Coturnix japonica: one gene and its partners. The protein of the gene in region 5 interacts with the protein of the main gene of each other region in a biochemical or structural test. Links are inferred from orthologs where the notes say so. Each region holds a gene or a part of one and is shown on either strand. Other genes may lie near its edges.

The links.
Region 1: the proteins of SNTA1 (region 5) and solute carrier family 2, facilitated glucose transporter member 3 interact in a test that uses a peptide from one of them, tested with the Homo sapiens proteins (2 studies listed by BioGRID and IntAct). The link is inferred for Coturnix japonica from reciprocal best matches to the Homo sapiens genes SNTA1 and SLC2A3.
Region 2: the proteins of SNTA1 (region 5) and DGKZ form a complex in vitro, tested with the Homo sapiens proteins (2 studies listed by BioGRID and IntAct, with this or other methods). The link is inferred for Coturnix japonica from reciprocal best matches to the Homo sapiens genes SNTA1 and DGKZ.
Region 3: the proteins of SNTA1 (region 5) and MAS1 interact in a test that uses a peptide from one of them, tested with the Homo sapiens proteins (2 studies listed by BioGRID and IntAct). The link is inferred for Coturnix japonica from reciprocal best matches to the Homo sapiens genes SNTA1 and MAS1.
Region 4: the proteins of SNTA1 (region 5) and potassium voltage-gated channel subfamily A member 5-like interact in a test that uses a peptide from one of them, tested with the Homo sapiens proteins (2 studies listed by BioGRID and IntAct). The link is inferred for Coturnix japonica from reciprocal best matches to the Homo sapiens genes SNTA1 and KCNA5.
Region 6: the proteins of SNTA1 (region 5) and GUCY1A2 interact in a test that uses a peptide from one of them, tested with the Homo sapiens proteins (3 studies listed by BioGRID and IntAct, with this or other methods). The link is inferred for Coturnix japonica from reciprocal best matches to the Homo sapiens genes SNTA1 and GUCY1A2.
Region 7: the proteins of SNTA1 (region 5) and WWTR1 interact in a test that uses a peptide from one of them, tested with the Homo sapiens proteins (2 studies listed by IntAct, with this or other methods). The link is inferred for Coturnix japonica from reciprocal best matches to the Homo sapiens genes SNTA1 and WWTR1.

Annotation. Positions count from the first base shown.
Region 1 is NC_029516.1:68,505,604-68,509,902, forward strand, and holds the start of solute carrier family 2, facilitated glucose transporter member 3, read left to right. Parts: upstream 1-1,499; 5' UTR 1,500-1,622; coding exon 1,623-1,634; intron 1,635-3,905; coding exon 3,906-4,001; intron 4,002-4,299. UniProt on the Homo sapiens protein: Facilitative glucose transporter. Can also mediate the uptake of various other monosaccharides across the cell membrane. Mediates the uptake of glucose, 2-deoxyglucose, galactose, mannose, xylose and fucose, and probably also dehydroascorbate.
Region 2 is NC_029520.1:21,140,665-21,144,164, forward strand, and holds part of DGKZ (diacylglycerol kinase zeta), read right to left. Parts: coding exon 3,427-3,500; intron 3,102-3,426; coding exon 3,045-3,101; intron 1,695-3,044; coding exon 1,626-1,694; intron 1,165-1,625; coding exon 1,093-1,164; intron 825-1,092; coding exon 546-824; intron 180-545; coding exon 84-179; intron 1-83. UniProt on the Homo sapiens protein: Diacylglycerol kinase that converts diacylglycerol/DAG into phosphatidic acid/phosphatidate/PA and regulates the respective levels of these two bioactive lipids.
Region 3 is NC_029518.1:40,978,390-40,982,335, forward strand, and holds the start of MAS1 (proto-oncogene Mas), read right to left. Parts: upstream 2,801-3,946; 5' UTR 487-2,800; coding exon 1-486. UniProt on the Homo sapiens protein: Receptor for angiotensin 1-7. Acts specifically as a functional antagonist of AGTR1 (angiotensin-2 type 1 receptor), although it up-regulates AGTR1 receptor levels.
Region 4 is NC_029516.1:67,514,949-67,519,190, reverse strand, and holds the start of potassium voltage-gated channel subfamily A member 5-like, read right to left. Parts: upstream 2,801-4,242; 5' UTR 2,479-2,800; coding exon 580-2,478; 3' UTR 1-579. UniProt on the Homo sapiens protein: Voltage-gated potassium channel that mediates transmembrane potassium transport in excitable membranes. Forms tetrameric potassium-selective channels through which potassium ions pass in accordance with their electrochemical gradient.
Region 5 is NC_029535.1:2,063,043-2,067,283, reverse strand, and holds the start of SNTA1 (alpha-1-syntrophin), read right to left. Parts: upstream 2,801-4,241; 5' UTR 2,070-2,800; coding exon 1,808-2,069; intron 106-1,807; coding exon 1-105. UniProt on the Homo sapiens protein: Adapter protein that binds to and probably organizes the subcellular localization of a variety of membrane proteins. May link various receptors to the actin cytoskeleton and the extracellular matrix via the dystrophin glycoprotein complex.
Region 6 is NC_029516.1:161,711,204-161,714,703, reverse strand, and holds part of GUCY1A2 (guanylate cyclase soluble subunit alpha-2), read right to left. Parts: intron 1,677-3,500; coding exon 958-1,676; intron 1-957. UniProt on the Homo sapiens protein: Has guanylyl cyclase on binding to the beta-1 subunit. Isoform 2 acts as a negative regulator of guanylyl cyclase activity as it forms non-functional heterodimers with the beta subunits.
Region 7 is NC_029524.1:21,153,223-21,157,244, reverse strand, and holds the start of WWTR1 (WW domain-containing transcription regulator protein 1), read right to left. Parts: upstream 2,801-4,022; 5' UTR 2,647-2,800; coding exon 2,261-2,646; intron 1-2,260. UniProt on the Homo sapiens protein: Transcriptional coactivator which acts as a downstream regulatory target in the Hippo signaling pathway that plays a pivotal role in organ size control and tumor suppression by restricting proliferation and promoting apoptosis.

The DNA of each region.
Region 1 (4,299 bases), on a different chromosome or scaffold from region 5:
TACATGATCCTCGAGGTCCCTTCCAACCCGGGTAATTCTGTGATTCTGTGATTCTGTGATTCTGTGACAGACTGTGCTGGTGAGGTGGAGAGAAAGGCACTGGTCAGCCAGAGGTTTAGATGGGACAAGACCTTATTTTCCCCTTATTTTCCCCTTATTTTCCCACTTTCCCACACTTGTTCCTCCCTAAATGACCAAGATTATTCCCTTCTTCCACTTCTGATTCTTTGCCTAATTGTAAGTCGTGCGGAACGTGCGTCCCCATCCCGACCTGAAAGGAGCTCCGACATGGCTCAGGGCGTTGGGCTTCACACCTGGACAATGGGGCAGCCCCGGGAGGGGCCCAGCCAGGTGATATTTCCTCTGAGCCCTCAATTCCTTTCCCATCTGCCATTTTGCCCCTCTGGGCATGTGGAGATGCGACTTTGATGTGCTAATAGCTCCGGTGATGGGCCGAGGAGGATCCGGGCAGGGCTTTATTGTGTCTTATCCCCTCTCGTCATTGTCTCTCCGTGCTCCTCTGCGGGAGTGCAGATGAGCTTTTATCATGTAACCTAAGCAAGAGGAATTTGCAGGCTTCCTTTTACACAACAGCGCTTTTTTTGTTGTTGTTTTTTTCCTCCCCTCCTGGTGGCGTCATTATTTTAACACCACAAAAAGGCCCGTGAAATGATGAGCGCACCCCGCATAATTTTCGTTGCCATTGCAAGGCAATGACATTATGACAATTTCCTCTGACTGTAACCTCACAGCCCTTCCCCACGTCTGGGCTGTTACCATTCTCAGAGCGCCCGAAAGCTGATGAATTCAGTGCAGATGCGTGTTGTTTGAGAACACACACACACACACATATATATACAGATATATATAGTCTGGAATTAAAAGTACAGCTCTTCATTGCTCTCCTGGTAGAGACGTGGCAGTTTCCATTTATTTATTTATTTATTTAACCTATAGGATGGGCTGCAAATGAATTTATAACATAGGAGCCAGTTCGATTGGTGAGAGTGCTAATATGGGACTAAGAGCAGCTGCAAAGACACACCCCAGGCTTTATCCCCATGGCTTATTTATTTATTTATTTATTTAATATATATCTATGAGCAAAACAAATGACAAAGCAAAAAAAACCCCCACCCAAACATCCAGAAATCTCCACAAAATACGACCGAACCGGCACCCTACGTCGCTTCTGCTTTGCTCTCGTGTTCGTTCCCGTGCCCGAGCGTTTCTAACTCTAGCTCCAAAAACAACCTTCTCCACGCAAATCCAGCGGTGCGTGATACCATCAGCTGATGCTTTGCGCAGCGTCAGACCCGCAGGAGCCGCCCCGCACCCTCACTCTTCCCTCAGCCAAATCCCATCCTGCACATCCCCCAAAACTCTTGGACGTGGGGTGAACCGAGGGCTCGCATCCCCCACACCTCGGCCACTCCCCCCCCCCCGGCTCCTCCTCCGTCCCCCACCCAGAGCAGCTCATAAAAAGGCGGATGCCCGGGGGGGCTGGGTTCGCTGTTACGTAGACGGTGTAGCGGTGCGTGTTCGTGGGCGGGGTGCGGGTTGGGCTCTGTTGGCTGCGTGCGGGTGCCGGAGCCGTTCACCGGAGCCGTTGGCAGGAGGCGATGGCTGACAAGGTGAGGGATGCGGCCGGAGCTGATGCAGAGCTGGGGCCGCTGCCTGAGTGTGCCGGGAGGGTCGTTTTCATGGGGTGCTGGGCTCTCTCTCGTCTGTAGTGTGGGGAATATGGTCGCGGTTCATTGCCGTAGCGTTAACCTCCGCTGTCGGCTTATGGCGAGGGGAGATGCGGTGGCGGGGCTGGCTCTTGTCTATCATGGAAGGACGGGGAGCTTATCGGGGAAGGTTTGATGCAGGCCATGCCGTTGAGCTGTTTTGGTGCGTGTGATGCCATTAGTGCTTAATTAGCTTCGATCACGGCGTGCCTTTTGTTGGCTGGGTGGTGGTCATTGCCCCGGAGTTAACGGCAGCGGGTCCGTGATGCTAAAATGAGAGCTGTTCAAACAGGCGTTTCGTCGGCGGCGCTGCGGCTTATGTTAAAACGATCACTCTGTTTCTGGAGGGAAATAGAGACGAGCCCTTTCCCTTTTCTACTGTAGAGAACGGGGGGAGAGCCTTTATCGATTCTCGGCCTGTGCACTGTTGGGTTTTATAGTGCGTCTGGGCTCATCCAGGGAGCGGAGCCGCTGCCCTGGAGCAGGACGCCGAGGTGTTTCTACTCTTGGTGCTCGCCCCTGTGTTAACGGGCGATGGGGGGAGTGTGGTAGAGCTGAGACACAAGGAGAGAACGAGCTGACCAAAAGCCTCGCGGAGAGCGGCAGACGCTTCTCGAGCTGGCCTTAAACGTTACGCTACGTGCTGAGGTCGCTGCCAGTAAAGCGGTTGCTAGCTCGATGCTGCTGCTGGGTCCTCATGCTGCTGGTGGGCAGAGAGGAGGAGTGTTTGAGCATCTAAGCACTGTATAGGCCTCAACCTTGGGCTTTTACATGGGGTGGGTGCTGTGGTGTTATTTCTGAGCGTCTCCATTTTGAGAAGTGTTGTGCTAGCGGTTAACAAATGGTCAGTACGTAAACTGTGGGCTCACACTGGAGTGGCTGGTTCAGGCCGTGTGATATCTTAGGCGGTGTGAGACTGGATGGGAGTTGGATAACTGGCATTAGTCAGGAAAATGGAGTATGAGAGGTGGTGAGAACGAATTAACCTTGTTATTACTTGCTTCTGTATGGACCACGTAGGCAAGATCACAAAGCAAGTGTCCTATAATTCCTGCTGCATCCAAAGGAAAAGGGTCAGCTATGACTACTACAAGCAGGGGCCCTGAGGGGAAGGAAGGATGCTTTTGTGTCACATACTGTGTTGGAAGTGTGGATAGCTGAACTTTGCTGCTATACCTGCTAAGGGGGATAAGTCCTGGAGTCTTGAAAGGGCTTAATATGTCTTAATTGTGACATCGAGGTGCTTTGGAAGGTCGGTTCTGTGCCAGAATTTCTTGTACCAAAAAGGGAATGGTTGCATGATGGCAGATAGAAGGCCTGCCTTGTTTGGAGTATGTTCAGCTGTGAATCTTAGCATGAGAATCATCTGCTCCATGCAGGAATATATGAATATATCCCTTTTCTCCAGCATTAACCTTATCAGGAAGAGACCTTAACACAAGACATTTAAAAGATGTAGCTGAGGGAAATGGTGCATTAATTTACTTTCTTCTTATTGAGGCCTAACTGGTAGCTTTGTGGGGCTGTACTGGCCAGAAGCACTTGCATTCCTGAAAGTCTGGTACAGGTAGCATGAAAACTGACAGCCTACTGGAGCCAATTGGAAAATGAGAGCCTGGAGGAGCTGTGGCAGCAGGCCCCATGGAGTACTTCATCCTCCCCTGTCAGCCTTAGGAGAATAATTGGAAGGCCTTGTTGTACTTTGAAAGCTTTTAATTGCTCCTGCAGCAGAAAGGAGTTGTTTTCGCCCTCCTACCTCCTTGTCTGCAAAGCTTAAGCCAGCTGTCTCCTCCCCACCCCCCAAAACAAAACAAAACCCTGGGAAATAGCAGATGCTTTTCTCTGACAGTTAAGTCTATCAGTCCCAAGGACTTCTGCAGGTTAGAGCTGCTTCCTCTACAGTGTTGAGTAGTTATTAAGTTAAAAATATATATATGAAAGATTCACATGTACTTATATTCCAGGAGCTGTGCTTTGCTTTGAATATTTGCTATTGGCTCAGTGGCAGGAAAAATAAATGAGGAATGCTGGCAGCACAGCCTTTTCTGTGAGGGAGGCTCTTGGTTGCAGTTGGCCCAGTTGTCTTCTATTTATGCTGAAGAGAAACTTATGTAGAAAGCGTGAACTCCCAATTAACTAAATAATTGCATTTTCTTTTTTTTTTTTTTTATTCAGCAACTTACTGCTCCGCTAATCTATGCTGTTTCTGTTGCTGCCATTGGATCTCTTCAGTTTGGGTACAACACCGGTGTCATTAATGCTCCAGAGAAGGTGAGAGTTGGGGAATGAGCTGGGGAGGAAAATGTATAAATGTGTTGGGGAAGAAAAGAGCATAAAGGACAGGAGCTGTCAGGCAAATAGTTTTGGTTGTGGTGGTTGAATTAAAGGAAAGAAGGCATTCAAAGGACAGGAAAGTTAATGGGGAAGAGAGATCACAGTGAATGATCAAAATTCACTGAAAATTCAGCTGAACGAAAGGGGTCAACTGCATCAGGGATTGTCATTTTGTTTCTTAGTAAGCCTTATCTTCCCCCTGCCCCTTTAGGGCACGAGAGGAGAGGAAACACAA
Region 2 (3,500 bases), on a different chromosome or scaffold from region 5:
ACACATTACCAAAACTGTTCTGAGCTCTCAGTAGCCAATGGCAAAGAGCTGCCTTCTCAGGAAGATGAAGGGCAAGGCCATACCTGATTCCCACCACTCTTGGGGTTCACAAACACCAGCAACGGCTTCATGAGAGGAGCTGGCATGGGTTTGATGACAAAAGGTTTCCACCTCCCTTCCTGCAAGAAACACCGCAGGTCCATTAACAGACTTAGTGAAATGCAAACTCCTACCTCCAGCTGAGCCCTAACATCACATAGGTTAGGAGTGGAAGGAAGAGAATATCCTCACCACTCCATAAACCTAATAGCTAAGATATGCCTTGCCAGCAAACATAACTCACCTCCCAGCCTTTCTCATCTCTGTGACACCCTCTGAGATCTTCAGACACTCCCAAAACACTCTTTGTCCCAGACCCCTTTTCCTCTACCTTATACCTCAGTGCAGACCCTGAAAAGAGCCCTTATTTCCCAGTTCTGCTCCTCACTGTCCAGCACCTCTACCTTTCCAACACAAGGTCACCCCCAGCCCCTCTTATCTCTTACCTCAGCACCCTTTTTGCTCAATTTTCTCTTGAATGATGTCCTCTTCTTTTTCTTACTGGATTTCATTGGATTCTGAAAAAAAAAAAACGAAACCCAAACACTATAGAGGAACTGCTGGGTAAACAGGAGCCATGCAAAAACACATGAACTGATATGCCTTACCTGGGGCCGTCGGACCCGCAAAATCCAGGTGGGAGGAACGACGACAGCAGCATGAGCCCCTAGTGAGCAGGGCTCTTCGATGTGTTGCAGCATGAAACAGGACACTTTGCTGTGATACTGGAGAAGCAGAGAGACAGAGAAAACTCAGCCTACTCCATTTCTCCTTCCAGCTGCCCTGTGCCAGTGAAAGGAGAGCTGCAGGAAATGATGCAGGAGTTTTGTAATGGAAAGGCTTCTCCTAGGAGGCACTAAGAAAGCTTCCCATAGCAGCTCCCAGCTATGTTGGTAAGAGTAGCTGTAGTGGCAGGCTGCAGAGGATAAGCCTGGGGGTTCCCAGCAAAAAGCAGAGGTCATTAGAGCAGATATTCAATGGGGCTTTGCTCACCGCTTGCTTGCACCAAGAACAGCTGATGGCTACAATCTCCTTACTGTGGAAGGCAAACTTCTGCTGGAAACCCTGCAGAGAGAAGGATAAGAGGCTTAGGGAATTCCCTTACAGCTTTTCACCGTCCAGAAGGGCTTTCCAAGATACATAAACAAAGAGAACATGCCTGCAGCTGCAGCCCTCTAGATCCCTGTCAGATAACCCCAACCACCACACTACAGCACCAGGGAGGTTGCTGTGCTCTTTGCAGGAGCATCTATATTGCCTAGGAATAGTGAGTCGGGAGGAATGGTGAGTCCCCTCTAGGACTGATGGGGCCCAGGGGGAGAACAACTTTGTACGAGTAGCACTTATGTAGTGCTTCACTGTGTGAAACAGGCCATGAGTCTTGGTTTAGCTATAGGCTGCTCCTACCTAGCAGGAATAGCGTTATGTTAGGCAGGAATTCTTTTACTTCCCAGTCCTGCTATTGCCCCTTGTTTGATCTTAGCTCCCCTTCAGGCTGAGGAAAAACACACCAAGAAGCCTCTCACCTTGCCACACTGCCGGCATTTCCCTTCCTGTCGCCTCCGATGCACCCAGTGATGCCGGACAACTATGGGCTAAAGGGAAAATATAAAGAAAAAAAAAGTGAAAGTCCCAATGCATACAAAGACACAGGAACAGGCAAGAGAAACAGACACAGGCCAGCCAGAACCTCTGCTCTTGCAGTAAGCCTGCTGCCCATCTGCACCAGCACCTAACCTCTAAGAAGGCAAAGCCAAAGAACTTAGGGGCACAAGACCAAATTGTGGTGCTCACAAAAGAGGAAATTAAATCAAAACAAGATAAAACAAAGAACCAAATCAGAAAGGAAGCATCAGAAATTGAAGATAGAATCACAGAAAGCGAACAACAGAGTGGGTAAGCAGTAGACTATAACGTTACTCTGGCCATAAATCACATCTTTATCTCTTAATATCTCTGACCAGATGACATGAAGTGAAGGGTAGAAAAGATGCCAGTGCAAAGTGAAAATCCCCAGTGAGACACAGTTTCTGCACACAGCAAGATGATGGGAGTGCCTGCAGCCAAGTCAACTGCCTGCTCCTAGCAACAGTATTTTTCAAGGAAAGAAGTAGCCCCAAAGCCCCCATGCCTTCTCCCCGAATAAAATCCTGCTGACCTGCTGTAAGGAGAGGAACAGAATTGCTCATGGGTACCTTCTCCCTGCCCACAGCCTCACTGATGGTAGAAGAACGGATACCTTACAGTGTAGTCTTTGAGTATTGTAGGGGGACTGACCCAGGCAGCCAAAATTCTGGAAGAATGCTTTTCTATGTTAATGGGAGGCCCCTAGGTAAACTGAGGAGTATTGGAAAGAGGCTGGAGGATGAGCTACAAAGGCTGGCAGGTGCTTCGCCAGTGCAGCTCAGCAGAGAGGTCCCAGGTCTCAGCTTGCACCCACTACATTACAGCGCAGACAAAACAGGTCTAACAGCACCACCATGGGCACCTTCCATCGCTGTATGGAGCACCCGTAGCATCCAGGGCAAAGCTGAGCAATAAAGCAAGAAATGAGCCTGCACTGCCCCCTGCCAATCCATGGGAAACTTGGGGAACTGCTGCTTGCCACAGCCTCCTCTATTGACTTGGACATCAGCAAAGGAAAGGTCCTTTGCCCCTCTCAGGAAAACCTGTTTGCATGTTCCTCCCATGCAGATACAGGAGCTAGATAACATGCAAAGCAGCAGATGCTTTGTCTTTTGCTTGCAGTCTCCTCTCTTCTTACACTCAGACTGTACTGCTGCTTGGCAAGGAAGTATTCTTTACTGCACCTCCCCTCTGGAGCCAGAAGGCAGAGCAATGCCAGCACTTTGACAGGCAGCACGCTGGCAGCAGTTGATCCCTTTGCAACCAAACTGTAAAGGCAACAGCTCAGCCATAGGCAGCATCCAAGGCTCATGTCTCACCTCCCGTACGTTCCGAGATCCTGACTCCCTGAAGGAAGGTTTGCAGCGGAAATTTATCTGTGGATTGAATACATATGATAGGAATCAGTAAAATCACCACCAAGAGGAAACCTACTGGAGTTTATTTTACTATAGCAGAACCTCTGGCAATGTTCAGTGCTTGACTGCAAAACCCACCACCTCTGTCGCCACACAAAATGGGTCCAGGGGTCCCAGTTGAGTAATTAGCGCTCCTTTTGGTACTGTCTCCTCATAGGACCCCTCCTTCCAGCAACACATTTCAGTTTCCAACCCTCCTATGCTACCCCAGAGAGATGAATGGCCAGTATCAGACTGTCAGAGCTTTGCAAGCCACAGAGAGGGCTTAACAGGTTTTACTCACTTTCTCCAGCTGTTCTATGCAGGGTGTATGCACTATGATCTTGCATGCTGCACACTTACGCCTGGAGAGAGGTT
Region 3 (3,946 bases), on a different chromosome or scaffold from region 5:
AAAAGACAGAGTCCATAGAATTGCGCATACAATTGCTGATTGGTGCCGTGACCGGTGGCAGCGGTACCAGATGGGGTAAACAATAGACAGACACCTCTCAATACTGATGGCTGTCAGGAGATAGAGACCAGTATTATATCCAAGAAGAAAGACAATAGACAGTGTGGTGGTTATATAGTAGTAAAAGCCATACGCGAATCCAAAGCCAGCAATGTACTCAATCGACAGAATAAATACACAAAACAGTAAGGAGATGTCAGCAATGGACAGGTGTGTGATGTACGCAGTGAATGGATTTCTTTTGATCTGGAAGCAGAGGCACCAGAGGACAATTCCATTTTCACAAAAACCCAGGAAGGAGATGATCATAATTACCCAAAGTGGGGTCAATATCTCCCAGACTCTTTCCTGTGTAGAAATGTTTCTGTGCATTGAGATGTTCTCTGTGCCTTCGCTGGGATGAAACGTTATGTTTGACTCATCCATGGGGAAAGCTCAAGTTTGGATAGCTCAGCTCTTCCTTCTGTAAATATGTATAAAAATATACTGTGAATATTGTGTGTTCCTTCCCTCCCCTTCTTTCTACTTTGTGGACCCTGGTTTTCTGGTCAGATCTGAAAGCCTTAGCAAAGGAAAACTATCTCTGATATACTAATGCTAGCTGAAACCCCGCTGCAAATATTCTAAGCAAGTATTAAAGATTTCTAGGCCTATCATGCTAGCAAAAACACTGAGCTTCCCTCTCTGTGGGGTTCAGTTTAGGGATGCTAAACCACAGTCACAGAGATGCGCTTGCAGAGCTCCTGAACATGCAACCTCTCTGTCACATTGCAAAGTCCCATAATGCAGCGATCACATACAGGATTGGTGGCTCTTACTAGAGCACTGGATTGTTCCCAGACAGTTCTGTTCAGCTCCCTTTAAAGCTAGTGATGATAATTTGAAGCCATACATATGTATTTCAGGTGAATCTGGCACAACACAAAATGCTGTGTGTCAAAAACTTGATACCAATACCTTTTCCAGAAAGATTTAATTTATTAAGTAAAATTAGTATGTAGTTACTCAGCTCAATATTTCCTCAAAGTGTAAAGTCGTGGGAATGGAAAATGTCTTAGTTTTGAGTCAGTCCCATGTTTGTCCAACTTTAAGTATCATTTATCAAAGTATACACTCATAGAATCATAGAATATCCTGAGTTGGAGTGAACCCACAAGGATCACTGAGTCCAACTCCAGTATAACATAATTTAACCATAGCGAACCATTTAACAGAACTGCAAATACCCTGAAAATGTTACAAACCCAACCCATTGCAAGAAGCAGTTGTTCAGGTTCCCTGCTATTGTTATAATGGTTAGATCTGTTGATTTGGAACAAATTCTCCCTTTGAAGGTCTCCTTTCATCCCACAAGAGACAGCAAGTAGCACTGGCTTCTGTTGATTTTCATTGGTGTGTAGGATTGTGTCATGCTCCCTTCCCTGTTAACTTCCTACCTGCCTCGGAGATAACGTAAACTCAGAGCCCTTGCTGATTTACTGCTGTTCCAAGGAATAACTACTGGAATAAGCTTGCCCATGTGCCTCAGTTCATCTATATAGGCTGTTAACATGCCATAATGGGAATTTACCTACATCCTCAAGCAGTCAAGAACATCAAATGCAAGGGAAAGAAGTTTTACTGGGGATAGATAAGTCATGTAACCATTACTGAAACAGAGCCCCTGACTCCAATCATACATTTTCCCTCATGAGCCCTGGGTTTCCCATGTTCACAACAGCTTCTTCAGACAGGACACCACAGTCTAAAAAAGAGCATTAGTAAACAACCTGGGAAGCCTCAGGGCTGGCTGGCATTTAAACCTGCACAAAAATGGTAATGATGATCTCACCTGTATGTTGACTGTGCCACCGTCTGAGACTCAGTCGGAAGGAACAAACAACATAGCTGGAAATGTGGAAGACAAGTGAGCGTGAATGAAGCAGGTAAGTGCAGTGACTGGAATGAGTGGCAGAAGTTCCTAAAGCAGTGTTCTGGAAAAGCTGTAGAGGGAAGGTGCTCAAAAACTGTGCTACTGGAAGTGTGGTAGAATTTCATAGGAGGAAAGAAGAGGAGAATCTATCTTCTTCAACAGTTAAAAGAAATAGAAAAAAAACAATATGAAAAGACTGGATTATGTGTTTGATTCATATATCTGTATCAGTACACTATTTCTTTCTGGAGAGTGAAATGAAGAACAAAAAGTTCTGGACTTACTACAGTCATTCCCACATGAAAACATTCAGAGAAGAGAATGGAAAGAATCTTCTCCTTCCAGATACATCCACGGTCTGTTCAGATTTCCCTGAAGCTGCTGAAGAACTTCCTTGAAGAAGCTGAAGGTTACCTTTTCCAACCATTTGTCTTTGGTAAGAGGGAGAGCGAATAATGCACTCTGACCATGACTCCCTCAAAAATAAGTGTGCAGTTGTCCCATTGCACAAAATTACTGAGGCACACCAAGGAAAGAGCCCTTCATCTGATTCTGTGCTTCAAATGGCATCACTCAGTAGTTGGCAAGTCATCTGTCTGAAAGCCTGGGAGTTAACTATTGTGGGAACTGAATGGCAGTATATGGAAAATTGTCCTGAGCTGTCACAATACCAAGAGACATAGTTTAAACAAACAAACACAAAGTGAGCAGGAAATCTATTTGGGGAGGATAAAATCTGAAGGAAAAATCTCAGTTTAGAACTGTGCCACTATATGCCATCTAAAACAATACAAGTTGATTTGTAAATGTGTCTTAAATTACTTTCTAATGTAAGAATAGAAAGTAAAGAAAGTGAAAAAAGAGAGGGAGAAGGAGAGAGAGAAAGGGGAAAGAATGAAATGAAGAGAGAAGGAAGAGAAGAAGGAAAAAAGGGAAGGGAAGGGAAGGTGAAGGGAAGGCGAGAAGGGAGGGAAGGGAAGGAAGGGAAGGGAAGGGAAGGAAGGGAAGGAAGGGAAGGAAGGAAGGAAGGGAAGGGAAGTGGAAGGGAAGGGAAGGAAGGGAACGGGAAGAAGGGAAGGGAAGGGAAGGGGAAGGAAGGGAAGGAGGGAAGGAAGGGAAGGGAAGGAAGGGAATGGGGGAAGGAAGGGAAGGGAAGGAGGAAGGGGAAGGGAAGGAAGGGAGAGAGGGAAGGGAAAGGAAGGGAAGGGAAGCCGACACGAACAAAGAAAATATGCAAGGCTTTTGGGATAGTCTCAGATGACACATTTCTATTTGTATAGACCCCAAGATTATTCTAAAGAAAAACCAAACAAACAAGCGAGCAAGCAATCAACAACACCAACAAACCCAACAACACAGAAATACAAAGCAAAAGTCATTTCTTGAGATTTAATCACTCTCCCCTGAAAAGTTCAAACAAGCCTAGGAGCAGATAAATGTCCCCTGAGGGTGTCCCCTGCTTTTGCCCCAAGTATTAGGTTGTTTTTCTATTCAGATATTAGCAGAACAAACATTCTTCGCCAAAAAAGGAGAGAATTTGCTTGGTTTTCTCCTTTAGATGTTTCACTAAAACTACCAAATCCCCAAACGGGAAAAGCTACTAACTAACATGAGAAATAAATGACCCCAAAGGGAGGGTCAGAATAAAGTTAGGAAAGTAACGGAAAAAAGTGAAAACAACTTCTAATTGCCCTTTTGTTTGTTTAAATTGTAATCTACCTTGTGTAGAACAGCCGCGGGACCAAAAATTTCAAGCTGTTCTGGAAAAGGAAAAAACCTGTTCCTGACCCATAAAATGAAACATGCATATGAGTAGTGAGGATGATCATTGTAGGAGTCTGTTAGTATTGCAAGCTAGTCCTTTTTTTAGCCCATTCAGTCTGCTGCACAAAAGTGTTCCAAAATCAGGGATGTCCTTTCCTCTGTGTCTCTCAGTGGATGGTGGTTTCTGATAACTCATACGCACACAGCATT
Region 4 (4,242 bases), on a different chromosome or scaffold from region 5:
CAAGTGGAAAACTCTAGAAGTGCTGATCTGCCAGTATTCCTAGTGCTTTAATGGAGTGGAATGTCTCAGTAATAGGAAATCCCATTTCATCGATAAATATATTGATGTAGACACAAAATAAATTAGAATATTTTCAGTTTGAAACTGAAAACTCTCATTGTTCTCTCACACTCCAAAACTCACTCATTCTCTGCACATGTCCCCCAGCTCTTTAATAATCTGCAGAAAATGTATTGATTACAAATGACCATTTCAAACCAACCATCATTTGCTAATAAAAGTTTCTAAAAATTAGATTTTGTATTTTCATAATTTACCAGCTCCTGCATCACGGAGAATAGTTTACTGAATCTATTTTAAAAACAGGTGACCATTTGTGTCATGGAAAAAGAACATAAAAACATTTATTCCCGGAGGACTGCTCAGGACAGTGATCAAATTACAAAATATAGTCTGATTTAAAAACCTAACAAACAAACAAACCAAAAAAACAACAAAATTGGTAGGAAAATAATATAGTAGTAAGTTTCTGACACCAGCAAATTCTGCTGCATCTCTAACTACAATTCTCTCCTTTCCTCACAGGTCTGTTTCCCTGCTGCTATCCAGACAGAGGGCATATAGTGATTTTCTGAGATCTACGTTACTTTTAGCTTTGATATTGGTTTTCTTTAAAGGGCTGGCACTGCTTTTGAACTCTTCATTATTTTCCAAGTGCACAACAGATTTGTCCAGAGAGCTTTTACTGCATCTTCTCTTTCCATCTACCCCAGTTACACTGTCCTGAGCACTACTGTGTTCTTCTTTGAGCATAGCTTGCTCTTCATGGTCAGTCTCTCGGTGGTAGAAGTAGTTGAAGTTGGACACAATAACAGGGACAGGCAGGGCAATGGTGAGCACACCAGCAATGGCACACAAGGACCCCACGATCTTGCCCCCCACAGAAACAGGTCGCATGTCCCCATAGCCCACAGTGGTCATGGTCACCACAGCCCACCAGAAAGCATCAGGGATGCTGGAGAAATGAGACTCAGGGTCATCAGCCTCAGCAAAGTAGACAGCGCTGGAGAAGAGGATGACGCCGATGAAGAGGAAGAAGATGAGCAAACCCAGCTCCCGCATGCTGGCCTTGAGGGTCTGCCCCAGGATCTGCAGCCCCTTGGAGTGCCGGGACAGCTTGAAGATCCGGAAGACCCGCACCAAGCGGATGACTCGGAGGATGGCCAAGGACATGGCTTGTTGCTGGCCTCCACTCCCATTGCTGCTGCTACCTCCAGGCTGCTGTTGTTCATTGGCCAATTCTGTGCCCAGCGTGATGAAGTAGGGGATAATGGCCACGATGTCAATGATGTTCATGATGTTGCGGGAGAACTCTGGCTTGCTGGGGCAGGTGAAGAAACGCACAAGGAGCTCAAAGGTGAACCAGATGACACAAGTGGTCTCAATGATGAAGAATGGGTCAGAGAGGCTACTCAGTGACTGCATGGGTGAGGAGTCTCCAGCTGTGGCATTCAAACCTCCACTTTGCGGGGGCAAGAACATGGGTATCTCTCGTTCATCCCTGAATTCAGGCAGAGTCTCCAGGCAGAAGATGATGATGGAGATAAGGATGACCAAGACGGAGACAATGGCGATGGCCCGGGCTGAGCTGGAACTCTCAGGGTACTCAAAGATGAGCCAGACCTGGCGCTGAAACTCGTTGTGGGGAAGGGGCTTGTCCTCTTCTCTGATGAAACCCTCATCCTCCCGGAAGCGCTCCATGGCCTCCTTCCCCAGCTGGTAGAAGCGGATCTCATCAGCAAAGACATCAATGGAGACATTGATAGGCCGGCGGAGCTTGCCCCCAGACTGGTAATAGTACAGGATGCCATCAAAGCTGGGCCGGTTCCTATCAAAGAAGTATTCATTTCTGAGAGGGTCAAAGTATCTGCCTCGCTTTGCTGGATCACCCAACAGTGTGTCAGGAAACTGGTTGAGGGTGCCCAGCTGAGTCTCAAAGTGCAGCCCAGAGATATTGATTAGCACCCTCTGATGATGCATTGCACCCCGGCTCGCTGCCTTCATCTCCTCCTCCTCGCTGCCTGCTGCCATGGCCATGCCCCGGCGGTGACCCCCTTCCTCCGGGGGATCCATTTCCGAAGCCGGCCCGGGGCACGGTGCGTTTGGTTGCGGTTGGGGTCCCGACGCCGCCCGGCCGCTGATGCCGCCCTCGCTGCTGCTGCGGCGCCTCCCGCCGCCTCCTGGAGGGGCAAGCGGGGGCCCCTCCCGCTCCTCTTCGACCTGCGGCGGCGGTGATGCCGGTGGGGTTCCCTCCTTGCCGTCGCTCAGTCTCGGAACAGACGGGGATCCCGCGGTGTGGCGTAGATCGCGCCGTCTCCGAGCCCTGCTGCTACCGCCGGCGTTACCGGCCGTGGCATCCTCGCCGGCCGGGATGGCCCCGCCACCGCCGTTCTCCAGAGTCACCAGCGCGATCTCCATGGGCAGCGGCAGCAGGCGGGCTCCGCTGAGGTGGCGGGCATTCTATGCACGACGCCTCGCTGCCGCCATCCACCTCCGGATGGGTGGGCGGCGGCCCTGCCCTGCCCTGCCCTGCCCTGCCCGCCTATCCCTCAGTGCTCGGCGGCCGAGCGCGGCCTGGGGAAGCCGTTCGGGGACCCGGATATGAACGAGCGATCATTCTGATGATTTGACGTCAGCGAGGATCCCTTCTCCCCAGCGGTGGCGGCGCCAGCTTCCCCCGGCATCGGGCTGCCGCAGCAGCGCCCCGCCCCGCAGGTGGGACCGACAGCATCCGTGCTCCAGCCCAGCCACTCCGTGCCCAAGCGGAGGGAATCACGGTGTTACCCCGAGCGGGTACGCATCCCTTGAGCAGGGGAAGTCTCCGGCTGGAATTGTCTCAAATGAAATCCAGAGCGCCTCTTGGTGCCTGCTGAATCCTCCTGCCTTCACAGCTTAATGAGAACAAAGAAAGGGATGGGATCTGTTTTGCTTTGCTCCCATCCTTTCCCCGCCCTTAACATGTAGTTCCAAAAGGTGCTTCTGAGGCCAGCAGATAGCAAACGTTACACTGGATTACCCGAATGTTAGCATTTATAATTTGGGACCATACTTTGCCTTCAATGATTTCTTAAACCCACATCCAAGGCTGACACACTTCAAAATATATGCATTTTATTAAAGAAAATGAATTGAAGTAGCTTTATATGATGACTTTGGTTACACTTCAGTAATATGATCGATGCTGTGGTCTTATTTCCTGGGTTCAAACTGTGAACTTCAAGGTCTAGAAGACAACATATTCTAAATATATACATAAACAACACAGGATTAAAACCTATACATATACATATATATATATATGCACAACATCAGTTGTAAAAGATGATACTAAATGGAAAAAACATTTTGCCTTCTAGGTGGCATCACTGCAGTGATATTTGAATCCTTGCAGTAGTAATGATATTCATCAAATGTAGAATAACTGGGATTAATGAGTTTTCACTTAATTTAAACCATTACCTCTGTTTATGAAATATGCCTAAAGATATTATAAGCCATGCCAAAACAGAAAACCATAATTATATTGAATGATTATTATAAATGATGATTTGTCTGTGATCTAAAAGTTGCCTCTGAGAGCTAAGCATGGAATCACTGACCTGCTCTGCCATTGAGAACTTACTCACACAAGTAATTCCTAGAAACAAAATTACAGTATATTTTCTAGAGCTGCTCTGAGATCCTGATGAGGAAAATGCACATTGCTAACTGACACAGTTGGAAAGCACAGCTATGTTCTCTGGGCACCTTCTTTGCAGCTCCAACATTTCTGAGAACTTAGGATGTTATCTGTGTATGTGGGTACAAGGGAAGAGGGGAGGAAAGGGTGGGAAGAAAAATCTATTCCAAAAGCAAATTTTAAAGGGCAATTCTTATTTAGCATTCCAAATTTTCTGAGTATTGTGAAATGAGAAGAGCAGACCATCTAGTAGGAAGCAAAGATATTGGAGAGAAAGTATGACATGCAGACATAACAAGTGAGATGTATGACTCATGTTTTAACCTGATGCTCTCTAATAAAGAATATATTTCTCCTTATACCTGTGAGTTAGCAAAAAACATTTTTTACCCTGAGTACATGCACATGTGCTGTCAGTTTCATACACTCCAGCACATCCATACCCAAACCTACCATTCTCTCTAGCTCCTACTGCCACTTATTTCTTGTAATCTAGTCATCAC
Region 5 (4,241 bases):
TCACGGACAGGATGGCATCTCCCACATACAGTGCCTCGGTCTGGTCTGCTGCCAGTCCCTTGAAGATCTTGGAGATGAGGATGGGCATCTTGTTCTCCCGGCCACCTGCGGGCAGAAGGGGCACCAAGCAGTGAGGGGACACTGAGCAATTAGGGGCACAGGGCTGCTCAGTGCCCACACAGTGCCCAAATACCTCAGAGCTTTATGGCAGACACATGTTAAGTGCTTCAAAAAACCATCCGAGTGGCTGCAGATTTCCTTGCTGAACAAACACACGCCCTGACCGCCTCCCCATCACTTCTGGCAGGAAACTGTGTCACTATTTGCATTATTAACTGTGTGTGCTGAGCAGCCTTCCCTGCTCTCAGGACCCCACGGTCTCAGTGGGGCAGCAGCTGAGTGCTGGAGAGGCAAAAGAGCCCCAGAGCAGCAGCTCAGCCGCAGGACTACCTGCTCCCCACTCCTCTCTGTCTCCATTCGGGCTGCTCCCCACTCTTCAGCCCACCAGGACACTCTCAAGGCCTCCGGGCAGCTCAAGGAGATCAATTTGCACTTTAAGTTCTGAACCTGTAGGAGATGCCAGCAGCCCCGCCTGGCGCTGCCCACGCTCAGCGCTGGGACAGCGTGTGCCGGGCACCCCCTCACTCCCCCCTACCCCCCTCCCACGGGCAGGGACCGGCAGCGTGACACCTCCCAGGGCTGCACCCGCTGTGCCGCCAGCATTGCTCCGCTCGGATTTCTGCAGAGCCTCTCCGGGAGCTGAGGGCTCCTCCGGCTATCAGCTGTCAAGAGGCCCCCGCGGGGGCTGCTGCTGGCTGCCGAGCCCAGCTTGGAAGCAACGCCTCGCAACCACCCATTCTGGGCTGTGTGCGTGGAGAGGGAACCACCGCCCGGAGCACCATGCGGTACACGACCCTGCAGGAGAAGGATCCTAACCCTAACCCTAACGATGCTAACCCTAACCCTGCAGGGCTGCATGAAGCACCAGAAACCCCAAGTGAAGTACTGTCTGGGGTTAGGATGCAGCTGAAATGCTTTAACCAGAAGGTCCATTTTAGATTCTGTCCCACGGGCCATGGACAGGAGCTGGCTGGCAGCGGGGTACCCGTCCCTCCATGCCCCCACCCCCTGCAGGGACAGCAAGGTTTGGCTGCGTTTAATGGCACATGGTCACCCCCCTGCAAAGCAGCAGAGGCACAAGGCAGCCCAAGTGCTGCCCGCCCGCCTGCAGCTCCCCGTTTGGATCACGGCTCCTTGGTTTCCACCTACGTCACTGCAAAAATAAAGTTTAGCTGAAGCAAGTAACGTTTCTCCTTTCCTGGGAGAGCCGCAGAGCCGGCAGCGCTTCGCAGCCCGGGGTTGGTTACAAGGGGGGATTGCACCTCCCAAAAGCGCTGCCGAGCTGCAGCACCCACAGCCCCAACAAGCGGTGAGGGCTCACCCCGGACCCCTCACGGGGACCCGCACCCGACACACCGCCCCACCCAGCAGCGCCCGGCAAGGAGCGCGGTGAAGGCTGAGCCCAATGCGGCCACGTCAGACAGCGGCAGCCCCCCGCACCCCCCCTCGCGAAGTTCCCGGCCCGAAGTTCCCGCAAAGTCCCCAGGACGGGGGTGGGGGCGGCGGGGGACACCGGGGGACACCCGACCGGGGCAGAGCGCTGCGTTTGGGGCGGCCAGGAGGGGACACCGCACCGGGGTCACGCAGGACGCAAGGACACGCGGGCGGAGCCCTCCGGTCGCAGCAGGGCAGCGTAGGTCCTACCTGCCGCCGCCGCCGCCCACTCCTGGTACTCCCCCCCCCTCACCTTTGATGCTGATGCCGAGCCCCCCCACGTCCTGTTTGACGACGCGCACCGTGCGCCTGATGTTGGCGAGCGCCTCGGGCACGCCGGAGCTCTGCTCCCCTCCGTTCAGCTGAGCCGGCGGAGGCTCCCCGGGCCCGGGGCCGTCGGCGGGGCTGACGCTCAGGGTGTCATCGCTCAGGGTGAGCAGGACGCGAAGCCACTGTCCGCCGGGACCGCGCAGCTCCAGCAGCCCGCTGCGCGCCCCTCGCCTGCCCGCCGCCATCTTCCGCGCATGCCGGGCCCGGCCCCGCCGCTCCGGCAGCTCCGCTCCGCGCTGCCCCGCGCACCGCCCGGCGGAGCAACGAGCCCCGCGCACCGCCCCCGGCCCGGCCCACGCCCGCCCCGTCGGGGCAGCGCCGCGCTGCGGGGCTCCGTGCCCGAGTATGGGACGGGGAGCGCCGGGAGGGGCATGGGGAGCTCTGCACACCCTCACTCGGACCCTCCCGGCTCCGGGCACCGCGGTGCGGTTGTGTCACAGGGGGACCCTGCGGGGCACGTCGGGGCGCAGCGGTGTCCGTGCCGAGAACCGGGTGCCACGAAAGCTTCGGGCGTGCTGCGGGGTACACGAGTAACTGCTGTCGTGGAAGCGAGCAGCGCTGTCAGGCAGAGCCAGAAGTGACTCGAAGCGAACTCTGGACTTATTAAGGAAAACTGCGATGATGAAAAGCAATGGCAGCTCTTGGGGGCGGTGGGGGGCAGCCTCAAGAGCTCTCCCACTGGCGTCCGACGACGTCGGTGCCCCAAAGATGGGTGCAGACAGCAGCAGGGAGGATTTTTGGAGGCATTCAGAACAGTCTTGCTTTTTTTCTTTCCTTTCCCTGTCCTGCTTCTTGAAAACAGGAACGGTGTTTGTTTCCTTTGGCAGATCCGCATTTCCTCCTGCAACCGAGTGGCAGCAATGAGGGATAAAAAATACCTCTGGGTACATCCCCTGTGCCCCTTCGGGCAGCTCCAGAGCCCTGGGGTGGGGCTGCAGGTCCCCAAGCCCCAGGCTCTGCAAACGCAGCCTTAAAGGAATTGAATCCCGTTCACGCACAAGGGGAGGTGGGGGGGGTATTGCAGAGCAGGGGGCTGCAGCCCTCCCCACCCCCACACGGAGGCAGCAGCGCTCCCCCCACGCAGAGGCAGCTGTGGAATTTCTTGAGATTGCGGCAGAGGAAACCCTGAAGGTTTTTCCCTTGCAAAGCACAGCTCAGATATTCCAGTTTTCAATCCAAATTCTGCAGTTCGATTGGAGTGACTTTTTGGGTTTGCCTAACAGTGATGCTCCCACGCCCATCACACCCCCCCCTCCCCCCCCCCAGTCCTCTGTGCATCCCACAGACCCTGAGCTGCTGTGCCCATAGCAGAGGGGGTTCAGTCCTTTTGCTGCCAGTTGGGGTCACTTTGCCCCTTGCCACTCGCAGTCTTTTTTCTTTCCAATGCTATTTCCAGCACAGGTGATTATTAAGGCTGTATTCTCATTGTAAGCCACGTCAGAAAGCAGAGACACTGCTCCCAGTGCCACAGGATGGCACCATCCAGGGATATGTGATATGTTTGCTTCCCCAGCCCTGGCAGCACTATGCAAAGCAGCAGTGGGAAGCAGAGCAGTGCCACACAGGGGGAAACCTTGTGCCATGCCACACTGCTGGGCAGCAAGGCCATGTGTGCAGCCCCACATCATGGCACAGAGGTGCTGCAGTGCCCGTGGGATGGTGATATCTTCACTGTGATTCTGTCACAAGGCTGAGCCCATCCCATCCTCCCCCTGCAGAACATCCCCGCTCCCGGACGTGGTGGGTGAGCTGCTATTATTAGCTTCAGCTCTTGGCACACACAGGAGCTGTGTCAAAGCCCACCCGTCTATTTATAGAGCGCTGTTAGCTGCGTGAATTTACATGAATCACTTCTGAAACAGAAGAAAAGCTCGTGTTTGGGTCTGAAGTGGCATCCCCAAGGCTGACAGCAGCACCTCAGGAGAGCATGGGGCAGCAGGTCCTGCCTTGCTGAAACAGATCAGAGGCTGCAAATGCACTGGAGAGGATGGGCAGGGAAATAAAAGAGATTCAGATGTGCACCATGTACTTAACCGAGTGATTCATCCCCTGGTATACAGGAAATGTAGTGAAATGGTGTTGTCTGCCCAAACTGTGCAGTCTCCGACTCCTCCAGTTGACTTTAAAATGTTTTGCTTTGGGACACAGTCACTCCTGGCCGAGTTTCTCCCTTCTCAGTCTGGGTTCTGCTCTCTGGATCCCCATAAGACAGCCACACCAGCTGAGCTCTGTGCTGTGGAAGCGCTTTGCTGCTGCACAGCAGATGGGTTATCAAGGCTGGATGAGTGCTGTCAAAGAAACAGGAAAAAGAAGCACCTGGGGACTGAGATAGGTGTGGGGAAAGCAGGAGCTGGGGG
Region 6 (3,500 bases), on a different chromosome or scaffold from region 5:
TCCAGACCATCTGAATTGTATACGTGCCACCTTTAAGAAGAAATTTGGTAGGTAAGTATCCAGTGTGAATAGGATTGACTATTTTCGGTTACTAGCTCTTAGAAATTCTGCAAATCAATAATTATTTCATTTAAGACAGCAGTATCTCCAAAGGACCCTAGCATACACTTTCAATATAAGTCCAGCATATTAAGTGTGTTAGTGCATAAAGCTGGAATCTTGCTTTGCAGCAAAAAGCTTTCTATTAATTCAAGGATATGCAATAAGGCAGAAGTCTTTGTGGAGGTATGTTCTGGAAGACAATTTCACATGGGATGCACTGAATTCAATATAGGGCACATTAGTTGAAGTAACTCTTCTGAAACACTGAAGGAAGAGGCAAAGTAGAAAGACAAGTACTATTTTAAATGACTGGGAAACATTAAAACTAGTCTACAGTGATACGGGTACCTTTTACAGCTCTGGTTCTTTGAAAGCAGGGTGAGAGATGAGAAGAAACACAGACAAAAGCAGTGTTTCCAAATTGGGAAGCAGGATATAAAAGTAGCTATGTGAGCCCTGAAGCAAGAGTCTCTCAAAAATATATATTGAAAGCTATTCTCCTGTTTAATAACTATTTAATAACTATTATTGTTATCATAATAGAGCTGGAGTGACATTAAGGATTAGATATAGGCATTTTCTAAAAATCCTCACTCTTCTGGTTCAAACTGAACTAAGCAACTTCACTGAAGAGAATTTTCTCAAAGGCAATGTCACCATTCACAACATCTCAGGCAAAGCTTGTAAATAACTTAGGAAAATACTCATTTGGCAGAGGAATACCACTTAACCCTATTTAGAAAGCATAATTGAGCTTTCCACAATACACGGGACTTTAGATGTTTCTTTCTGTACAAAAACTCCTCTCTCATTACACACATATACACGTTAGCCCTTCCAAATTAATGCTCTTACCTTGTCTTTATTTTCAGAGTCAGTATCCTCAAGTTTGGTCCGAATAACAAAGGGAGTAGATAACCTCAGGAGGACTCGTTCAAATGTGGCACTGATCTTAGGAGAAACTATGTCGAAGCAGTCTTGGAATTTCAGAGTTTTGTGGGTGTCACATCTGAGCTGCTTCCTTAGACCTTCTCCCAGCTGAAGAATAAACATGTTTTGATCAAACATCAGGTGAAAGGGGAATGCTCTGCAGAAGGTGCTGATACTAATCCTCAGATCTAAGGGAGAGTGGGAAGTTCCCGATGGAAGTGCTTTTGTGATATTTGCATTTTCATGTTCTTTGATAAGGAAAGTCAGACAGCTGCAATTGCCTGGGTTCGTCCCCTCTGAACACAGCTTATCGTTAGTGACCTGTTCTACTTCCACGTCCAAGCGGTAAATTTTCTTTGCTGCTGCCTTTATCATTCCCACCATTGCAAACCCTACAATCTGATGTGGGTGAAAATAATGAAGCATGAGATTGCCTTCAGGGAGCTCTTTGCATAGGAAAGATGGGGATTCCAGGGTGGCCTGTCTTCCAAATGAAGTTCTAATGTGCTCCAGCAAAGCATCAAAGCCATTGAAGAAGTCTTGAAGGGTCCCACCTACAGCTCGAAGAACTCTTTCATTCTCATCAAAGCAGATATTGAAGAATTCCTCCCCAAATTTTTCTTGCATTTCCTCAAGTTTCAGACCTATAGGATAACAAGACACTCATGTCAAATACATATATCTCTACTGTGCCACATCATCCCTTTGTTGTCTGTTTTCTCAGTATTTTTCCAGTCCTTTAAGAGTGTTTTTTTCCACTACCCATGGAACCGCTGCTTTCTGTGGAAGCTAGGAATGCCTGAATGGTACCCTTGGATGCCTGAAACACACTGCTTCATTCTAGTAGTCATTTTTGCCTGCCCTTTCAATCTTTCATGCTTTCAGCTTCCCATCCCAGCCAGCTAAGTGTGAAGTTTACACTTGCTTTGTCTCCTCTTCCCTGATGGAAGCCAAAACATACTATAATTTCCCTAATTTTTCACCTTCCCTAACTGTAAGTCACATGTAGCCTGTTTTGCAAATACATCCAACCAAGGATATATACCAGCCACTGCTGGCACAGACACAGGAGAGGTTTCTGCTTTTATAGCCCCTCTTGTTTGCTGTTTCTCAAAGTATCTAGCTTTTATCACCTTGAATAATGAGTTATTGGGATGCAGGTTTTGGATTTCAGTGAAAAGTGCAAAGTGAGACCACTGGCTTTCAATAAGCAGTGCAAAGCCATACACTTTAGTAGCTGGGTTGTTGTTGCTGTTGCTGTTTTTCAACAGACAAATACTTTTCTCATTATAGATGATGGCACTGAAAGAAAATAGGAAGAAAGAAAGAAAAAATATTTCTTTTTTGTTACCCGAATAGGAGAGCAAAGCCTCACTATTTTGGGCTTCTACATTCATCTGTCTTCCAATAAATCCATGCCCCTTGCAACTTTCTGAACTGCTATTAGTTGAGACAGGTCTCTTATATCTATAAATGTCACTTCAAGTCTCCATCAAAGCAATACAAAAGGTTTTGATTTACAGAAGTGATAAGGCTGGTATTGCACAAGAGTAAGAAAATATCTGTAATAGATGCCTCTGAATATAAATATAAATGTTTATCAAAAGCTGCCCATTTTTATTTCTTATTTAAACTAGAAAAAAAAAACATATTTTTGAGATGGTTATTAAACATTTTCTTCCTTCTTATTTTAGTTAGGATATGTTCTGTTAAGTCTTATCTGTCTCTAACCCTATATCACTTAGCATAGTTAGAAAATTCATCATTACTAAGCTGTGATAGAAAGAAGCATAAATAAAATGTAAGTGAATTACAAATATCCTGCAAGAAACAAATTACGCAGTTCCCCCAGTGTATTGAATTTATTAAATTTTAGTGAACCAGTCAAACACCTTAAAATTGATCCTGAGTTCTAGCAGAAATGAAGAGCAACTATCTCATTCCTCAGGGCACAATAGGCCCTTTATTTTAATATGTATTCAGCATGCTTTATAACATTGATAAGATCCTAGTGGATCGCCAAACTTCTTACTGTTTGTTTAGATTACTGGTAGGCTTTACAATTTGGCAGAATAGTGTGGTGAGAGACTTCCATGCCTAAGAGGTTTAACAGGACAGAAGTCACTCGTCTGTCATATGCTGACAATAATCTTCAGTCATCTCAAGTCAGGGCTCGTGCACACAGGCAAAGATACATTGATCAATATTTACAGGGAATGAGAGTACTCCATGCCTTTGCAAACAGTCTGCAATGAGAGTTTTATTTGGACCCTCAACATGATTGATAGCAGAGTAAAATTCATAAAAGTACATTTGTAAACAGGACAACATGACAAAGCAATAATAGTTTGGGAAAGTTCATCTGTAGGCCTTTACTCATAGTGAACTTTGGTCAATGAACTAGGTTATTACAGTAATATTCCCAGGATCTTTTGTGCCCACAGATGGTCAGATCATCAGCTAAGCCA
Region 7 (4,022 bases), on a different chromosome or scaffold from region 5:
TTTTATCATCAGGCTGGAAAGAAACAGCAGTTTTTTGACAGACATCCCCTGAATTTACTGTCTGTGGTAAATGTAACCTAGTGGGCTTGGTTTGACCAAACAGGATTTTAAATGCATGATCTAACTTGAATCCTACATAATATTGCATAGCTTTAAATGTGACTTTCCATAAACAACTTTAAATTTTTGCAGAAAATGCTATTTTCACCTTAAAAAAAAATAAATAAAATGATATAGCTTGCAAAATACTGTGGTTCAACCAGGATTGATTTATAGTTAGGCACTGCAGCCAGAAGCACTGAACTCTTTAAAAAAAAAAAAAAAATTAAAAAAAAAATTTAAAAAAAAGATTTTCCAATGAGTTTTTCTGGAAATGGGCAAAGGGCTCACTGAGAAACAACACACAGACTAACGTAAGTAACAAATTACTAACACAATGAAAAATTGGCCTGATATTAAAAGGATGTTGTTAATCAGAGCATTACTGTTGATACAACTTGGGAAAACATGAAAGATGCGGTGGGGTTTTATCCACAGCTTTTTTAAATACAGGACCCACCATTTTTTAGACCCAACAACAATTCAGCGTCTTGGAACATTGTGTGTCTATGTCAGAAATGCGGGACAGGCGAAGGTGAAACCGTGTGAGCACATTTTGATATCAGTCAGAGCCAAATGGCAGACAAAGATTATGTTATGTGATCTATAGCTGGAGTGTGAACACTTGCTTGCCAAGCCCTAGCAAGAATGTATATAAAGTATTTATTCAGGAACAATCTGCCACAGTGTTGCTATCCATAAGCTCCCCTTCCTCTGTACTGCTCTACTGAGAAAAATGCATGCAAAGTGCAGTGGTAACGTCTCAGTGAGGTGATAAACCAGATTAGCAGACACAAATCTGGGCCCTTGTGAGCACTCCCACACACTGACATACAGAATGGCAAAAAGAAATGTATTTCCACTCTTTGGTCTGATGGTGACAAGCACAACCCAGACTGTAAAAAGGAATTCAAGGACTGGGATCTCTGGAGATTCCAAAGCCACAAAGAAAAGAAATCATTATAGAATCATACAAATGTGTATTTAGTTACTTTTACCGGAAAAGAACATTCCCTGCCTTTCTCAAGTCCTACCATGTGCTTGGTATGGCTGAATACACACAGACACACAGTCTCACACGAGCTCAAGATGTGTCTATTCTGACAGAAAATAGGTGGGCAATCCCATAGCCCAACTCCACTATTTATTCCATTAGAAAACACTTGGAGCACTGCATTCAGATGTGGAGTCCTCAGCACAGGGGAGAGATGGACCTGCTGGAGTGTGCTCAGAGCAGGGCAAGGGGTGATCCAAGGGCTGGAACATTCTCCCTGCCTGGACAGGCTGAGAGCTGGGGCCGTTCAGCCTGGGGAAAGCTCAGGGAGATCTGAGAGCAGTCTGCCAGTACCTAAAGGGGCTGCAAGACAGAAGGGGACAGACTCACTAGCAGGACCTGTTGTGTCAAGACATGGGGAAATGGTTTCAGGTTAAAAGAGGGGAGATTTAGACTGGATATAAGAAAAAAAGTTCTTACAATAAGAGTGGTGAGGGACTGGCACAGGTTGCCCAAAGAGGCAGCGGGTGCCCCATCCCTGCAGCAGCTCCAGGTCAGCCTGGATGGGGCTCTGAGCAGCTGATGGAGCTGTGGCTGTCCCTGTATTGCAGTGGAGTGAGACCAGGCGGCCTTTAGCGCTCACTTCGAGCTCAAGCCATTAAACATTCTGCAGCGATGCCTTTGCCAGGTTACCACAGTGCCACTTCATCTACAGTGAATCCGGAGCAGAGGTACAGAACCCACCGCAACAAGGTGCCGCTGCCTTAGCACATATTACAACTACAGCCTGTTCCCAGCCCTATTAAGCTGCTCTGAACCAAATTCCAAACGTCACGAACACACTTTGTTCACAGCGGACCGGCAGCGCGGCTGTCACACCCGTCCCAGCACATCCCCAAAGCAGGGGAGCCCCGCGCCCACCCCGCACAGCTCGTCACCACGCGGCGCTGAGCTCGGATCGCGAACGTTCGTGCTGGGACCCCGAGCGGGCAGCGGCAGCGGCGGGACGGCACTAGAAGCCGGGAACTGCTCGGGCGGGCGGCGACTCCTCGGCCCAAACCCCGCCGTGCCCCGTCCCGCCGCCGCCCCGGGCCCCTCCGTCCCCCGTCGCACCCAGCTCAGCCCCCGCTGCCCGCGCCCGACCCGCCCGGCGCCGCGCTCGCTCACTTGAGGAAGTAGCGCTGTCCCGTGTGCGTGAGCGCCATCTCCCAGCCGGGCGGCAGCGGCAGCTCGTCCGTCACGTCGTAGGAGCGCTGCCGGAGGTGCCCGTGCTGAGGCGCGGCGGCCGAGCCCACGAGCGACGCGGGGGAAGAGTGCGAGCGGACGTGCTGCGCCGCGACGGGCCGCGGCGGGGGAGCGCCCGAGTCCGTGCTGGACTGCCGGGAGTGCGAGCCCGAGTCGGGCTCCTTGAAGAAGGACTCGGGCAGGATTTTCTTCCGCCAGGAGCTAGGCCGGGGGTTCATGACCGCGTTGAACAGCGCCTCGAGCTCCGTGTCCAGGTCCTGCGTGACATGGATCACCTGCTGCCCCGGCGGCGGGGCCGCGGGGTTCATGTTCCCCCGGTCAGCCCCGGCGGAGGGCAGGAGACGGCAGGGCACGGACGGGGACGGGGCCGGCACCGCCGCCTTGGGGACGCGCCGCGCGGAACGGCAGGCGGCCCCGGGGCAGCGCCGTCCGGCCGCCTCTGCGCCCTCCAACCACGGCCCGGCCCGGAGCAGGGAAGGGCGGGTCAGCACACGGGCAGCGCGGCGCCTCCCCCGGGCCGAGCCGAGCCACCCCGGGGCGAGGACAGGACGGGACAGGACGGGACTGCCCCGCCCCGCACCGCCCCGCACCGCCCCGCACCGCCCCGCACCGCCCCGCCGCGGTTATGCAACGGCCGCGGAAACTTCGGATCCTCTGAACCGCTGCGGGACGGGCTGCTCTTAGTCCGGCTGTGTATGCGGCGCTGCTGAGCGCTGTGCGGTGCTGTGCTGTGCTGTGCGGTGCTGTGCTGTGCTGTGCGGTGCTGTGCTGTGCGGTGCTGTGCTGTGCTGTGCTGTGCGCTGCTGTGCGGTGCTGTGCTGTGCGGTGCTGTGCGGTGCTGTGCTGTGCTGTGCTGTGCTGTGCTGTGCGGTGCTGTGCTGTGCTGTGCGGTGCTGTGGGTGTGTGCTGGTGCTGTGCTGTGCTGTGCTGTGCTGTGCTGTGCGGTGCTGTGCTGTGCTGTGCTGTGCGGTGCTGTGCTGTGCGGTGCTGTGCTGTGCTGTGCGGTGCTGTGCGGTGCTGTGCTGTGCGGTGCTGTGCTGTGCTGTGCTGTGCTGTGCGGTGCTGTGCTGTGCGGTGCTGTGCGGTGCTGTGCTGTGCGGTGCTGTGCGGTGCTGTGCTGTGCGGAGGCCTCAGGAGGGCGGTGCTGCGGGACTGGCCCGGGCTCGGAGCCGGCCGTGTGCCCTTCTTGTGCCCGCCCGTGACGGCGGAGCGCTGCTCGGCGCTGCGGGAACTCGGAGCGTGGAACTCGTGACGCGCGGACAGGACTTGGGCAGCCTCGTGGGCTTTGTGTTTAAGCCGTCGTTCATGAAACTCGTGGCACCATTCTGGAAGCAAAATGATGCATAGAACAGTGCAGTAGCTTCACAGTGTGATTTAGTGATGCTTTGGCAAGGGGGCCATGTAATTGGTGGGGGGAGAAGTGTTAATGAGGACGTGTTGTACCCTATGAATACCTAAGAAAGGATTCATCCCTGTGCTGGCCGGTAGGGATGTAATTCCGAGTCCTGTCGCAAATCCCCAGAACTCACTCTCTGGTGATGTTACAGATACAGCTGTGAGGCTGCTTCCATTCCAGCTGCCTCTTTGCAGCCTGGTAGTCTATGTACCAGAAGCCCAAGCTGTGATCAGAATGCATTCAATGCATTCCTGAGGCTTTCTGCAATGGAAATGTGAATCTTGCCTT